Coturnix japonica: one gene and its partners. The protein of the gene in region 1 binds, or shares a complex with, the protein of each later gene. Links are inferred from orthologs where the notes say so. Each region holds a gene or a part of one and is shown on either strand. Other genes may lie near its edges.

Evidence for each region. The genes of interacting proteins can lie anywhere in the genome.
Region 2: the proteins of RANBP9 (region 1) and ARMC8 are in contact, whole or in part, in a cryo-EM structure (PDB 7NSC), measured with the Homo sapiens proteins. The link is inferred for Coturnix japonica from reciprocal best matches to the Homo sapiens genes RANBP9 and ARMC8. Residues at the interface, in NP_005484.2 of Homo sapiens: Tyr271, Gly298, His299, Ser300, Leu301, Gly302, Ile303, Asp337, Asp340, Tyr341, Arg343, Glu344, Thr347; in NP_001350870.1 of Homo sapiens: Gln245, Arg246, Asp247, Val277, Leu278, Lys279, Ile317, Ile320, Thr321, Asp322, His323.
Region 3: the proteins of RANBP9 (region 1) and GID4 are in contact, whole or in part, in a cryo-EM structure (PDB 7NSC), measured with the Homo sapiens proteins. The link is inferred for Coturnix japonica from reciprocal best matches to the Homo sapiens genes RANBP9 and GID4. Residues at the interface, in NP_005484.2 of Homo sapiens: Ser223, Lys224, Gly225, Arg226, Asp227, Gly228, Tyr229, Met230, Gly256, Asp257, Thr274, Phe275, Thr276, Thr277; in NP_076957.3 of Homo sapiens: Leu187, Arg189, Asp194, Glu195, Asn216, Asp218.

What each region holds. Positions count from the first base shown.
Region 1 is NC_029517.1:68,373,411-68,377,693, forward strand, and holds the start of RANBP9 (ran-binding protein 9), read left to right. Parts: upstream 1-1,446; 5' UTR 1,447-1,752; coding exon 1,753-2,197; intron 2,198-4,283. UniProt on the Homo sapiens protein: May act as scaffolding protein, and as adapter protein to couple membrane receptors to intracellular signaling pathways. Acts as a mediator of cell spreading and actin cytoskeleton rearrangement.
Region 2 is NC_029524.1:2,407,698-2,411,902, forward strand, and holds the start of ARMC8 (armadillo repeat-containing protein 8), read left to right. Parts: upstream 1-1,378; 5' UTR 1,379-1,573; coding exon 1,574-1,618; intron 1,619-3,560; coding exon 3,561-3,637; intron 3,638-4,205. UniProt on the Homo sapiens protein: Component of the CTLH E3 ubiquitin-protein ligase complex that selectively accepts ubiquitin from UBE2H and mediates ubiquitination and subsequent proteasomal degradation of the transcription factor HBP1.
Region 3 is NC_029529.1:5,014,084-5,018,135, forward strand, and holds the start of GID4 (glucose-induced degradation protein 4 homolog), read left to right. Parts: upstream 1-1,225; 5' UTR 1,226-1,338; coding exon 1,339-1,551; intron 1,552-3,347; coding exon 3,348-3,407; intron 3,408-3,918; coding exon 3,919-4,026; intron 4,027-4,052. Other genes in the region: ATPAF2 (ATP synthase mitochondrial F1 complex assembly factor 2), read right to left, coding at 774-873.

The DNA.
Region 1 (4,283 bases):
ATTCTGATTTATTTACATTGACTGAAGAGCAGACACCAGGCATTTATGTAAATACCTGTGTGCTCTCTCTAATCCTCATGAAGCTGTAGTCAGAAAAGCTAATAAGACAATGGAGCATTGGAGCAATAAATGGCATACTGATTAAAATGGAACGTTGCAATACCACTACATAGAGAAATTAATTCTGTCTCCTGGAACAGCCTCCAGCATATCCCACCTCAGTGAAAAGGTCATAGAATCACAAGGTTGGAAAGGACCTACATGGTCACATAGTCCGACCATCCTCTTATCACCACTGCTACCAGAAGCTACTAAAGCATATCTCATAGCTCCTCATCCAGATGCCTCTTGAACACCAGCAGGGATGGCGACTCCACCACACCTCGTTGTACAGCACACTGTAGCTCGATGGCAGCCATCTCACAGTGGGCAGTGGGAAAAAAGGGAAAGGAAGTGTCAGCCATGACACTTGCCTCGGCTGATAGCGATAGCAAAAATGCTCACTGAAATTCAGAAAAGCTATGAACAGAGCAAATATATCCCCAGATAGCTGATGAGTGCCAAATGATAGATAAACTCTAAAATCCCGAGGTTTAAGGTTTACAGGATGCTTGAAAGAGAGCTTAGACATGCTGGTGGACAGCCTGTGAGAGGCAGGGAATCCGTGTAAGACTTGTCCTCCAGACCATCACAGCTTCATTGTCTTTCTCCAGACACACTCCAGGGTCCAATGTCTTTCATGTACTGAGGGGCACAAAACTGAGCACAGTGCTTGATGTGTGGCTTCACCAGTGCATAGTACAGAGGGATGATCACCTTCCTGTGCCTGCTGGCTGCCCTGTATCTGATACAAGCCAGAATGCCATTGCACTACATCATGGCACTGCCTCACCTGACAGATACCTTGCTGGCTCTGAGGAACCCACTCAGCTTCCTATCAGCGTAGGTGCGCATCACACCTGCATTACCTCGCTGGCACGGGTGTAGAGCAATTAACCTCCCTATTTCCTGCTCCCGTGCTTGTTCTCCAACCTTCTGGCAGCTGGAAACACTGTCTGAAGCTCCCAATGTTTCAGGCTCTAGAGAAGTCCTTCCTCTCCTAAACGTGTCCCAAATTTGTAGGAGGTTCTCCTTCACGTGAAACAATCACCGCAAGCAACCGCTTATGAAACAACAACGCTGTATGCGTGGGTAAGAAGACACACTACCTAACTTCCCCCACCACCGAGACTCCCCGCAGCTTCACGGCCCACAAGCCCCGCTCTCCACCACATAGCGACGCCCACCGCCGTCGCACCTCAGCGCCCATCGCTGTTGCGTGCAGCGGAGAGGCGGGGCCGGGCGGCAGCTGACGGGGGACGCCGGGGCTGGACGGAGCGGGCGCGCACGCGAGACGGGAGGGGACGGGGAGGAGAGAAGGGGGAGCCCGCCCCGCCCCGCCGCGGCGCCCGGCGCGCTCCCGGCCCGCTCCGCTTCCGCCCGGCGCCGCTCTCCGTGCAGCGCTCGCTCCATCGGCCCGTTCCGGCCTGGTTCTGCTCCGCCGCGCCCCCCGGCTCCCATCGGGCAGCCCCGCCGTCGTCATCGCCCCCGCCCCCCCCCGCTACTAGGCGCTCCGGCTAGGGGTGACCCGCCGGTAGGGCCGCCTCTCTCCGCAGCGCGGGGCCTGCCCGCCGCTCCGCCTCGGGCCGATCCGTTGACGGTCGCCGCCGCGGAGAGGAGGAGGAGAAGGAGGAGGAGGAGGCCGGAGCCGGGATGTCCGGGCAGCAACAACAGCAGCAACAGCCGCCGCCGCCGCCGCTCCCCTTGGCGGCCGCCGCTCCGCCGCCGGCGCCGGGGGTCCCCTCGGCTGCGTCCAGCCCCGGCCCCGCGCCTGCCGCCGCGCTCCTGCTCCACCCTCCGCCGCCGCCCGCCACCGCCGCGCCGCCGCCTCCAGCCGCCGGCAGCACCGGGCCCGCGGGGGGCGGCGGGGGTGGCGGGGCGCCGGGCTTGGCGGCGGGGAGCGGCGGCGGCGCCCCGGCGGCGTTCCCGCACGGCGACCCGGCCCTGAACGAGCAGGAGAAGGAGCTGAACCGGCGGCTCCACCGCCTGTACCCGGCCGTCAACCAGGACGAGACGCCGCTGCCGCGCTCCTGGAGCCCCAAGGACAAATTCAGTTACATCGGCCTCTCGCAGGGCAACCTGCGCGTCCACTACAAAGGTGAGGGCCGGGGCAACAATAACAGGAAATAACGCTCCGCGCCCTTCTCCTCCTCCGCGCCCCCCCGCCCGGCTCCGCGATCCCTGCCCCGGCCTCGGCCGTCCCCGGGGCGGCGGTGCGGGGCTCCTTCCTGCGGGGAACGCGGAAACGGGGGGGAGGGGAGGGAGCAGGGGTGTGCTTTGAAGAGGGGTGAAAAGGGGATGAAGCTTTGCGAGGGAAGGGGTGGCCGAGGGACTTGTGTCTGCTAAGGTGGTTTGGTAACTTCTTGCCTCCTGGTTCAACTTGCTGGTTCTCCGAAGGAAGATAAAAATCGAGCCGTGTGCGCGTACGGATCCGAGCGAGCGTAGGAAAGCGGCGAGTGTTGGTTGTTATGAAATGTCATAAAACCTGGAAACGGCCGGCGTACGCTCTGACCTGAAAAAACACGGCCACATCTGGTGCTCCGGGCCTGCTCCGAGGGGAGAGTGGCTGCGCTTCACCACCACTAATGCTGGCGGCGAGGAGCCGGCTCCTTTGTCAGTGCCCAGCGAACGGGTGGGGAGGAAACAACCCCGCAGTCACCCTTCTGGGTTGTGCTGTGTGGTGAAATTCGAGTGAAATCCCGATAAACATGTTACTGTTTAATCGGAGGGGGAAAACGGCAACACAAACACATGGCAGGATTTGGCTGCCGTGAAAGGATTAAATGTACTCTCGGGGACTTGTTTTTTTTTTAATAGAGAGGCTTTATTATGACATACAGAATACTCTGTTCAAAATGCTAAGCGTGCTGTGCCGTATGAAGCTAGTGTGGGAGGCTGGCGACCAGCTACAGAGCAGGTTTCTGGGAGGCCCCGAGTGCTTTAAGGACGTGTTATTTAATACCCAACTTCACATTTCCTGGCTTTTGTTCAGTTTTTCATGCCCTCGTATTTTTAGAAGCGTTTTGTATTTTCTGCCGCTTAGTGGCTGCAGTCGGTTTGAGTTGCTTTTTACTTGTTTTCATAGGGTGATCATAGCTTTATGGCCATCAAGTCCTCCTGTGTGTTCTGCTTTGCCCTGCTCTTTTTGCTCATGAACTAGAATTTAGAGACTTTCTGGTCAGCCGCTGTAATTGGAGAAGTGTATTTTCAGGTTTTATTTGTGCTATTTCTGGTTTCCTCCTCTTCGCCTTAGTATTAAACCAGAAATGTGTTGCTTTGGAGAAATTAAAGCAGGCTCCATATGCCTCTGAAGTAAAGACAGTGTAGGAAATGCCGTGGATGCTCTACTGGAAGATGTGAAGCACAGTTGGTAGGTTATGGGAATAAAATGCCATTTCTCTTGCTCTTAAGTAATAGTAAGTGATGGAGGCTGGAGAGTTCTTAAATTAGTCCAGGGGTCTGTGAAGAGGTGAGGTGTCATGAATGGGTTTTTCTTTCTCCTAGCTGCAAGTGGGAGTGAATGGCCTCTCAAGTGGCCCCTCTTTTCTCCCTGGGAGCTGAATGGAGGTGGATGTGAAGGCAGCCCCGGTGCATGTTACCAGCCTGGCACCTGGGCTCAGCAGTGTGAGGTATCAGACACTCCTACCTGAGGCACTGCGTGGGGAAATAACTGAAACATTTGTGGCCTTTTTCCTCTGGATCTTACAGCCCTACGAATGCAGTCAAAGGGAGGAAAATGAGGAGGTTCAGTGAGGAACATGAGAGCAGATAGCATGCAGAAATGTGCTTAGTGTTTTGAAATGTTGTCCCTACAAATCAGCCGCAAGTAGCGGTCTCAAAAGAAGGCATTCAAAGTATCTTATAGGATCACAGAATTTCCTCTAGGATATTAGGTAACTTCAGAGGCACCACAAAAGGCCCAGCATTTGTGAAAGAGTGGTAGATGTTTTTGTTAAAATATGAATCATGCCTGAACACAGATGAAGATCTGTTGTTCTGGACCAAGGAAGTGTGTCCAAGGAAGGGGGAGAAGATGGGTCTGGCCAAAGAAGCCAGTGGTCACAATTGGTTCTTCTCTTTTCTTACATCAGTGATGCAGTTTCTCAAGCTTTCCCTGCTGTGTCTGTAGTTTTCTGACAACAGAACTGTTTTTCTGAAGTTATTTCCTCTGGTCTTTGATGGGT
Region 2 (4,205 bases), on another chromosome or scaffold:
AGGCGGCATCTTTACAGGAGAATGGAGCAGGGAACCATGGGTGAAATGGGTTGGGGGTGTGGGTTGTAGCAGGCAAACACTTAAACTTCCATCTTTACCATCAGTTTCATGTTCTGAGATGCATTTTGTTTCTCAGCAGTTCATCATGGAAAAAGCGGCATATAAGTATTCATATATATATATATGTGTCAGTGCTCCGTACAGGTCTGATTAACAGCTCTATACTGGTGTGCTGATACCATTAACATCTTGGTTCTTAATTTCTCCTACCCCCAAAGGACACTGTCTTGTTGACTGAGTTGTAGGACGGTATTAATGCTTTTCCCTTCACAACATCCACCAAAGAGAGCTGTAGTAAGATAGGATGAAGGATTAGGAATGTTCAGAGTAAACCTCAGGTCATCTGAAGTCACCATTAAAGTAACCAATATACTGAAAATAGCTCAGTATCCTTTGGGTCTATGGTGCAAAAAAATTAATGCCTGTTTTCTTGTGATCTGAAGACTATCATGGTAGTAAAGGGTTCCCTCTGTAGTATCATATGCAATTTTAAAGTAGAAAATATAGTAAGAACTTGAAAAATTACTCCAGCCATAGGTCACCTTTAATAGCCTGTTTTAGTCTGGCTTTCTATGGTTTGGTTTGTTCTGTTGCCCTTTCTGCTTAATGAGTTTTGGCTTTCAAGAAAGCAGGAGAACACCAAGACAGAATGGTAACTTCATGATCTGTAGAGATTCCAAATGTCCCTGGATGTGGAAAGCAGATGTTGAACTGTTTGGGATCTGCTTGGCAGGGTGACGTGGGAGGAAGAGGGGCCTAAGAAAGCTGGTTGGTATCCACGGACCGTCTCCTCCAAGCCCAGAAGCAGCGTGTGCTGAGGAGAAGGAAGGAAGGCAGCCAAGAATGCCTGGAGGCCTCAGTGGATCAACAAGGATGCAACTGGACTTACTGAGCTCAAAAAGAAAGTCCGTAGGGGTTAAAGCAGGAGCAGGTTACCTGGGGGAATACAGAGGAGCTGACTGAGCAGGCACAGACCGGGTGGAGCTCAACGAGGGCAAGTACAAGGTGCTGCACTTGTGTCAGGGCAATGCCCAGCACACACAGGCTGGGCAGGGGATGGTTGGTGAGCAGGGTTAAAGATTCAATGTGAGCCAGCAATGCGTGCTTGCAGCCCAGAATGCCGATTGTGTCCTGGGTCACATCAAGAGCAGTGTGACCGGCAGGATGATGGAGGTGGTTGTGCCGTTGCTCTGCTCTCAGCCCCCCCCTCCAGCGCTGCACCCAGCTCTCACTCAGGCTCCGTTCCCCGCCGGTCTCTCGGTGGCGGTGTGCGCATGCGCGTCACGCCGAGCCCATCGCGCACGCGCCGCCTGGTTGTGCCGGCAGCACGCAGCGCAGTTTCTGCATCGGCCGATTCGCCGCCCGCGAGGTTGCGGCGCTCCGCCCCCCGTGGCCCCCCCGTCCCGCCCGGCGGCGCCTCGCCCCGCCATGAGCCCGTGCCCAGCGGCGGCCACAGCGGCGCGCGCGTGAGGGCGCCGCCGGCGGAGCTGTCGGTGCTGCTGCGTCCGCCAAGATGGCGTGTGTGCTGGAGGCGCCGCTCCGCATGAGCGTCCTGTCGGTGAGTAACGCGGTGCCTCGGCCGGGCCCTGCGGAGCCGGGGCGGGGAGGCGGCCGCGGGGCCGGGCCTGACCTTGGGGCTGCGCGGGCGGCGGGGACGGCCCGGCACCTGCCCGACTGTCCCGGCGCTTTGTGCGGCGGGGGGCAGCGGGAACGGGCACGGGCCGCAGTGAGGCGGTTTGGCGGCGGTTTGGTGGCCGCTCCCCCTCGTGCCCCGTCCCGACAAGTTCTCCCCGCTCGGGGCTCTGTCCCCGCAGCGCCGCCCTCCGCTGTGCGTTGGCGGCGGCACCTCGCGGTTCGCTCCGCCGTGTTTCCCCTCTTCCCCCCCACTCGCTGACGCGCTTCACGCCGCGGTTCCCTCCGAACTCCTGCGGCGGTTCCGCTCGTTGGGCTCCGGCCCGGCCCCCGCCCGCCCCCACGCGGGGCTGCCCGCGCCCCGGGCCCCGCAGGGAGGGGGCGTGCAGGGCAGGGCCGGGCCGGGCCGGGCGCTGCGGAGTTGCTGGGCTGAGCTGGCCGCCGCCGCGCGGTGCCTCCGTGAGGTCGGCGCCCGCCCTACGAGCTGTGCGGGGCGCTGCCACCCGCGGGGCTGCGGTGTAGATTTGTTACTAAGCGAACCCCGCGGTGCGGGGAAATAGCGCTTATTGAGGGTCCCGCCCTGAGAACTTGGTGGCCTCGGTATGAACGTCCTATGGACATAACCTGTGCTCGCTGCGGCCCCAGGTTATGAATGAGGCTCCCCCAGCTGATAAAGCAGCGTGTTTTAGAAACAGAAAGCAGAGGAATCTCCAAAACCCAGAGTGTCTCTGTGGATGAGGATGTGGAGCAGACACATGGAAGTCCCGTGTTGTCCTCAGATCTATTCTTTGCTACACAGAGGATGATAGAATTTCCCAAATTGGAAAGGGCCCATAAGGGTCATCACTTCCAACTCCTGGCTCCACACAGCACCACCTGAAAATCAGCCCGTAAATCTGAATGACTCGCCTGTAGGACTTTCATAGTATAATTGAAGAGCCATCTTGCAGGCTGAGGAGTCCTGCTGCCTCCAGCTCCTCCTCCCAGTCTTCTGTGAGACCCCATCGTGCTGCTGGCAGCTCTGCTGTCTCCAAGCAAAGAGGCACAGGTTTAGCCAAGAGTGGGTGCTTGCAAAGCAATGGAGTGTTTGCAATTCCTTTATAACTTTGTTCAAGTAAAACTGTTAATGGGAAGAGTATCAGAAAATGCTGAGTTGGCAAGAAAGAAGAAAAAAACAGTGAGATAATGGAAATACATTGTCACGTGTTTGTGAGAATCCAGAGGGAAATTTACCTTCTCCTTTCCCACCCATACCTTTGGAATGTTTTCCATCTCCAACTTTGGATCTTCTCAAACAGAATAAGTCATTGGAGCAGGTGACTGTCCCTGCAGTGTGTGAAGGTGATAAGGCGCCCTACAGCAAAGTGTCTTAATGTGAGCTTCCTTCTCTTCGTGAGCTTGTTTGTCAGCACGGTTCTTGAGCAACAGTAACAGCTCTTATCAAGTTTTTCTTGCAGGAATTCATGGTTGTTTTTCTTTCTTTCTGTGTAGTAATTGAACACAATAAAATGGGAATTGAAGGTAGTGCTGATATCTGAAGGAGACCCCTTTTGTGTGTCCTGTTCGTGACCACACAAGCACCTAGCAGCACTCCGTTAACTTGCTTTGACTTGCAATGTGCTGCTACCCATGTTAAGTACATCTTATTCTTTAAGTCCCACTTAAACACAGGGTTAATTCTTTGTGCAGATGTTGCCCAGCAGTAACGTACTGCGCATTTGAATATGATCCTGTGGTTTTGCTGCTATCTTGCCTGGTAGGTTTCAACAAGCAACAGACTTGCTGTTGCTTTAGTTATTCCTGCTTATCAGCCATCATATGAATTGATCAAAACTCATTAAAAAGGAGTCATTGTTTTTCCTCTGCAGGAGGTAACAGCCAGCAGCCGCCACTACGTCGACAGATTGTTTGACCTGGATCCCCAGAAAGTCCTGCAAGGTGTCATGTAAGTTATCTGAAAGGCTTTGGGGCTGTTGGTTAAGCATAAGCTGGGTTAGCTGCAGTCCTGCTAGGGCTGTCTGTCAGGGGGAAGAAGCTCTATCTCTTTTGAGAGGTCTTGATGGAGATTCTAATACTAACATGATGGTACTGGTTTAACACCCTGTTACTTTGTGGTGCATATAGCCAGCCTCCCAGTTGGCAGCAATGAGGATAAACGTTCAGCAAACATTCACAGAAGGTTTTCAATCCATTCTGCTTTCCTCTTGCTCTCTTCTTGTCCTCTGCCAAGTCATCACACCTGCCTCTTTTGTCTTCCCCTGCTGCTATGCCTGAGCATTGATTTTTTTCTGATGCATGGCTTCCGTCAATATGAAGGGAACCGCAAGGAGAAAGAAAACACTTCCATAGGAATAAATTGTGATGCAAATTATATTTCAGTATTTCTATTGTGTGCCAGTGGTAGTGGGAATGATGGAAAGATTAAGTAGAAGTTTTGCCCTGCTGAGTGGGTAGTAAAGCTGATGCAAAGGTCTGTTTCCTTGCTGTCTCTGGGCTATGTGCTTCCCATTGTA
Region 3 (4,052 bases), on another chromosome or scaffold:
CACCCATAGGAGCAGATTTCTTGCAGACACCACTTGGAGGAACCATGAACCCTATGTGCAGCAGCAACTGGATCATGTGTCAGACACGTTGCACGTGGCAGCTGAGTCACTGGGGAGGAACCACTGTCCTCAGCTCACCGCAGCCCACACGTCTCACCCAGAAGATTCCCTTGACAATTACAACCAGCTCGTAAATGCTGAGCCCATTGAATCCACCTCCTGGCTGTCACTGAACTGTGCCCTGCCAACACGGGCCCAGCAGAGAGAAGGATGGGGATCCACTCAGCCTCCTACAAGCTTCAGGGCCTCAGGAAATGCTGCAGTGCTGGAGCACAGCTCTGGGAGGATTCAGGCACCTCAGCGTGTTCCCATTGGCCTCATGATACTCAATGAAACCCTGACTCCCATCCTCGTGTTTCCAGCAATATCTGTAGAGGGGCTGCACAGCCCAGCACGTGCCTGGGAGGGGCTGGTGGAGCTCCCCGCCATCCCACCCGCAACCAAAGGGAACCTTCAAACCCACTGATGGAAAAGCAGCGCAGTGACGCCCCACCACCTCCTTACCCACCTCGGAGCCCATTTTCCCTCTTCCTCCTTTCTTCAGCCCATTCTGAAGGCCGGAACCCAACCCCTCCCCCAGCCAGCAAGAGCTGACCTTGAGGAGGGGGCTCCCACTAATCCCCCCCCACACACACACACACCGACACCCCCCGCGTTCCCCCGCTCTCACACGGGGCTCCGGGCTCCTCCCCGCGGGGCCCACAGCTCCTCACCTGCGGGAGGGGCGTATGTTCGACTCCCACCCGGACACAGCGGGCGGCTCCGGGCTGCCACAGCCGGGATGCGGCCCAGGGCCTGCAGGAGGCGGCACATGGCGGCGGAGGAGCCGAAGAGAACGATGAGGAGCCGAGAGGAACGATGAGGGGCGGCGAACGGAGCTGGAGCGTTGCGGCCTACCCCGGCTCGGAGCGGCCTCCCCCGGCTCAGCTTGTCGCCCCGGGCGCCGCCATGTTGCCCCGCTCCGCCCAATGGGAGCACAGAACGCGCTTTGCCCCTTCGGCCTTCCCGTCGCGTGAGGCGCGAGGCGAACAAACTACATTTCCCAGCAGCCTCCTCACCGTAAAACCTGCCGGGAAGGAGAGCTCTCCGCCAATCGGAGCTCCGCCCCGCCTTCTCGCCGCTTCGCGAGGGCCAATGGGAGAGCGCGGGGGCGTTGCCGGGAGGCCCCGAGCCAGGCGGCGGCGGCGGCGGCCTGGGCGTGAGGGGAGCGGAGCGGAGCGCGGCCCCGGTGGCGGCCGCTGAGCCCCGGCCACGCTGGCGCCCGGGGACCCCCCCGAGATGCCGGTGCGCAGCGAGCGGGGCCGAGCGGGCGGAGCGGCGGGACCGGCATCATCGGCTCCGTCCGGAGCGGCCGCCAGCAGTTTGGTGCCGCCGCCTCCCATCAACACGGCGCAGCCCGGAGTGGCCACATCCCTGCTGTACAGCGGGGCCAAGTTCCGCGGGCAGCAGCGCAGTAAAGGCAACGCGTACGAGGTGGAGGTCGTCATGCAGGTGAGGGACCGTGTCCGGCGCCCACAGGGCCCCGCTGGGCCTCAGGCCTTCCCTGCTTCCCTCCCTTCCTTCCCTTCCTTCCCCTCTGCTCCCCGCTGTCCGGGTTCCCCTCGCCTTGATTCCGCCCGGCCCCGATCCCCCCCATCTCCATAAGCTCCTCCCTGCAGCCCCGGCCCTTCCTGCAGCCCCCACCCGGCTCTCACTGCCCCTCACTGCTCCATCCCCTCAGGGCTGATGGGACCCGGGGTCCTTCCTCTCTTTTCCTCTCACACTTTTGCCCCTTTTCTCCTTGTGGCTGCTGAGATACTTAACAGCAGCTCTCAGAATCACAGAATGACCCGGGTTGGAAGGGACCTCAAGGATCATGTAGTTCCAACCCCCTGCCTGGCAGGGCCACCAAACATACACATTTATTACATCAGGTTGCCCAGGAGACCCCATAGATCCCCATAGAGACCCCATAGATCAGGTTGCCCATGGCCCCGTCCAACCAGGCCTTGAACACCTCCAAGGACGGGGCATCCACAACCTCCCTGGGCAGCCTGTTCCAGGGCCTAACCACTCTCCTAGTGAAGAACTTCCCCCTGACATCCAACTTAAATCTTCCCTCTTTTAACTTAAAACCATTTCCCCATGTCCTGCTATTGCCAGCAGGACTCTCCTTCTCGTTCCCCTCAGGCCTGGGGTGCCCGTGTGCCTCTGGGCTGCCATGAGGAAGGGTGGGATCCTGCCTCGTGTTGGGAGGTGCCCAGGAAGTCCCGAGCAGTGGGACAGCCTGTATTTCAGGCCTGGCTGGAACTCAGCAGGGATCCAGGTCCCTGTGCTGGGCTTTGTGTTCCTCATCCCATGGTGCCAGTGGCTGCGTGAGGAACCAGGGGAGGGGTGCAGCAGTTCTGCTGTAATGGGAATGTGAGCAGACAGTTCTGCAGAATGGGGCTTTCCTAATCCTCTCTGGAGTCACTGTCACCCTGCGTGCTTTATTTTTAGTCAGAGGTGCTGGCACATTCAATTTGGGTAGAGGTGTGGAGTTAGTGCATGGGGAAGCCAGGCATTGATGCATGTTTTCCTGTAGCAAATCACAGCGCTGTTCCTGCTGTGAGTCTCTTGGATCGGGGCACCCAGGCTGGGTGTGCAGCAGTGCTGCAGCCTGGTGCATGGCTCGGCATTGGGGAGCAAAGTCAGAGCCCCAGGGTCAGTAGATGGGGCAGTGTGAACTGTGCCCTCTGCTTTCACATCCAGTCTTCTACTTGTCAACAGCATGACTGTACCCACTACAGTTTGTTCTGACGGAGACATCCTATGGCTGTTTAGTTCACTGCATGCTGCTTTCTCGCAGAGGCTGGCTCTATCTTTGTGCTAAAGACGCTGCTCTGTGCGTGTCAGATGAGAAGAGATGGCTGCCTGCTCTCCCTGTTACTGAGCGCAGAGCAATGTGGCTTTTCTTTGATCACAGGTGGGGAAGAGCCATCTTCTCACAGCTGATGTTTGCACTTCCCTAAATAATTCGCTTCTTGCTTTGAAAACCAATCTGGAGGTGTCAGGGGAAGGCTTGGAAAATCCCCCTGCTTGAAAAGCGCTCAGAGCAGAAGCATCCCACTGCTTCATTTCTGCATAGCAGAGGAGGTGAGATGCAGCCTCCCCCCCGGCCCTGGGGAAGGGGTGACTGTGAGGTGGATGTTCAGTACCAGCTGAAGCAGAACTGAGCCTTGGAAACTCTTGGGGTTAGAAATAGCTTTGGATCAATGGAGTGCCTTCTTGTGCATGCTAATAGTAGGACTTTGCACTTTTTTTCCTAGCACGTGGACATGGAAAACTCCTATCTCTGTGGATACTTGAAGATTAAAGGCCTTACAGAGGTGAGTGCTAATTGCAAAACAGCATGGGAAGATGCTGTTCAAAGGCTTTTCTTAGTGAGGTAGGAGAAGCTACCACTAGAAGGAGGTAGCAGAGGGATTGAGCATACAGCAAAATTGACCGCTAAGTAGGTTAATGGCTTAACTCTGCTGTTCCTGGCATATAGAGCAAATATGATGGGCCTTGATGGGAGACCTGAAAGGAGGGAAGCTTGTCTGGCATCCCTTAGGGTTTGAACTGAATCCAGCCTGACCCTGCAGTCAGCTTTGGACACACCTCCAGCACGCTAGGAGAAAACATAAGACCCAAACAAGTGAGATCTTTATGTGCTTCTGTCCATATCCGCCCAGGGTGGTCTGCTCTGTGCTGAGCAGTCAGTGAGAGGTGTTTCATGGGTGTGACACTACTTACTGTGCATGTCCAAGATTCTTTAGTAGGATCCTTGCTGTGAAATGCTGCCTTTTGCTGAGTTCTGGTCACTAAGTGATAAATCTTACCTCTCTTCTCTCCTAGGAATACCCAACCCTCACTACTTTCTTTGAAGGGGAGATAATCAGTAAAAAGCACCCTTTCTTAACACGCAAGTGGGATGCTGATGAAGATGTGGATCGTAAACACTGGGTAAATAAATTGGGGGCCAAATGTGG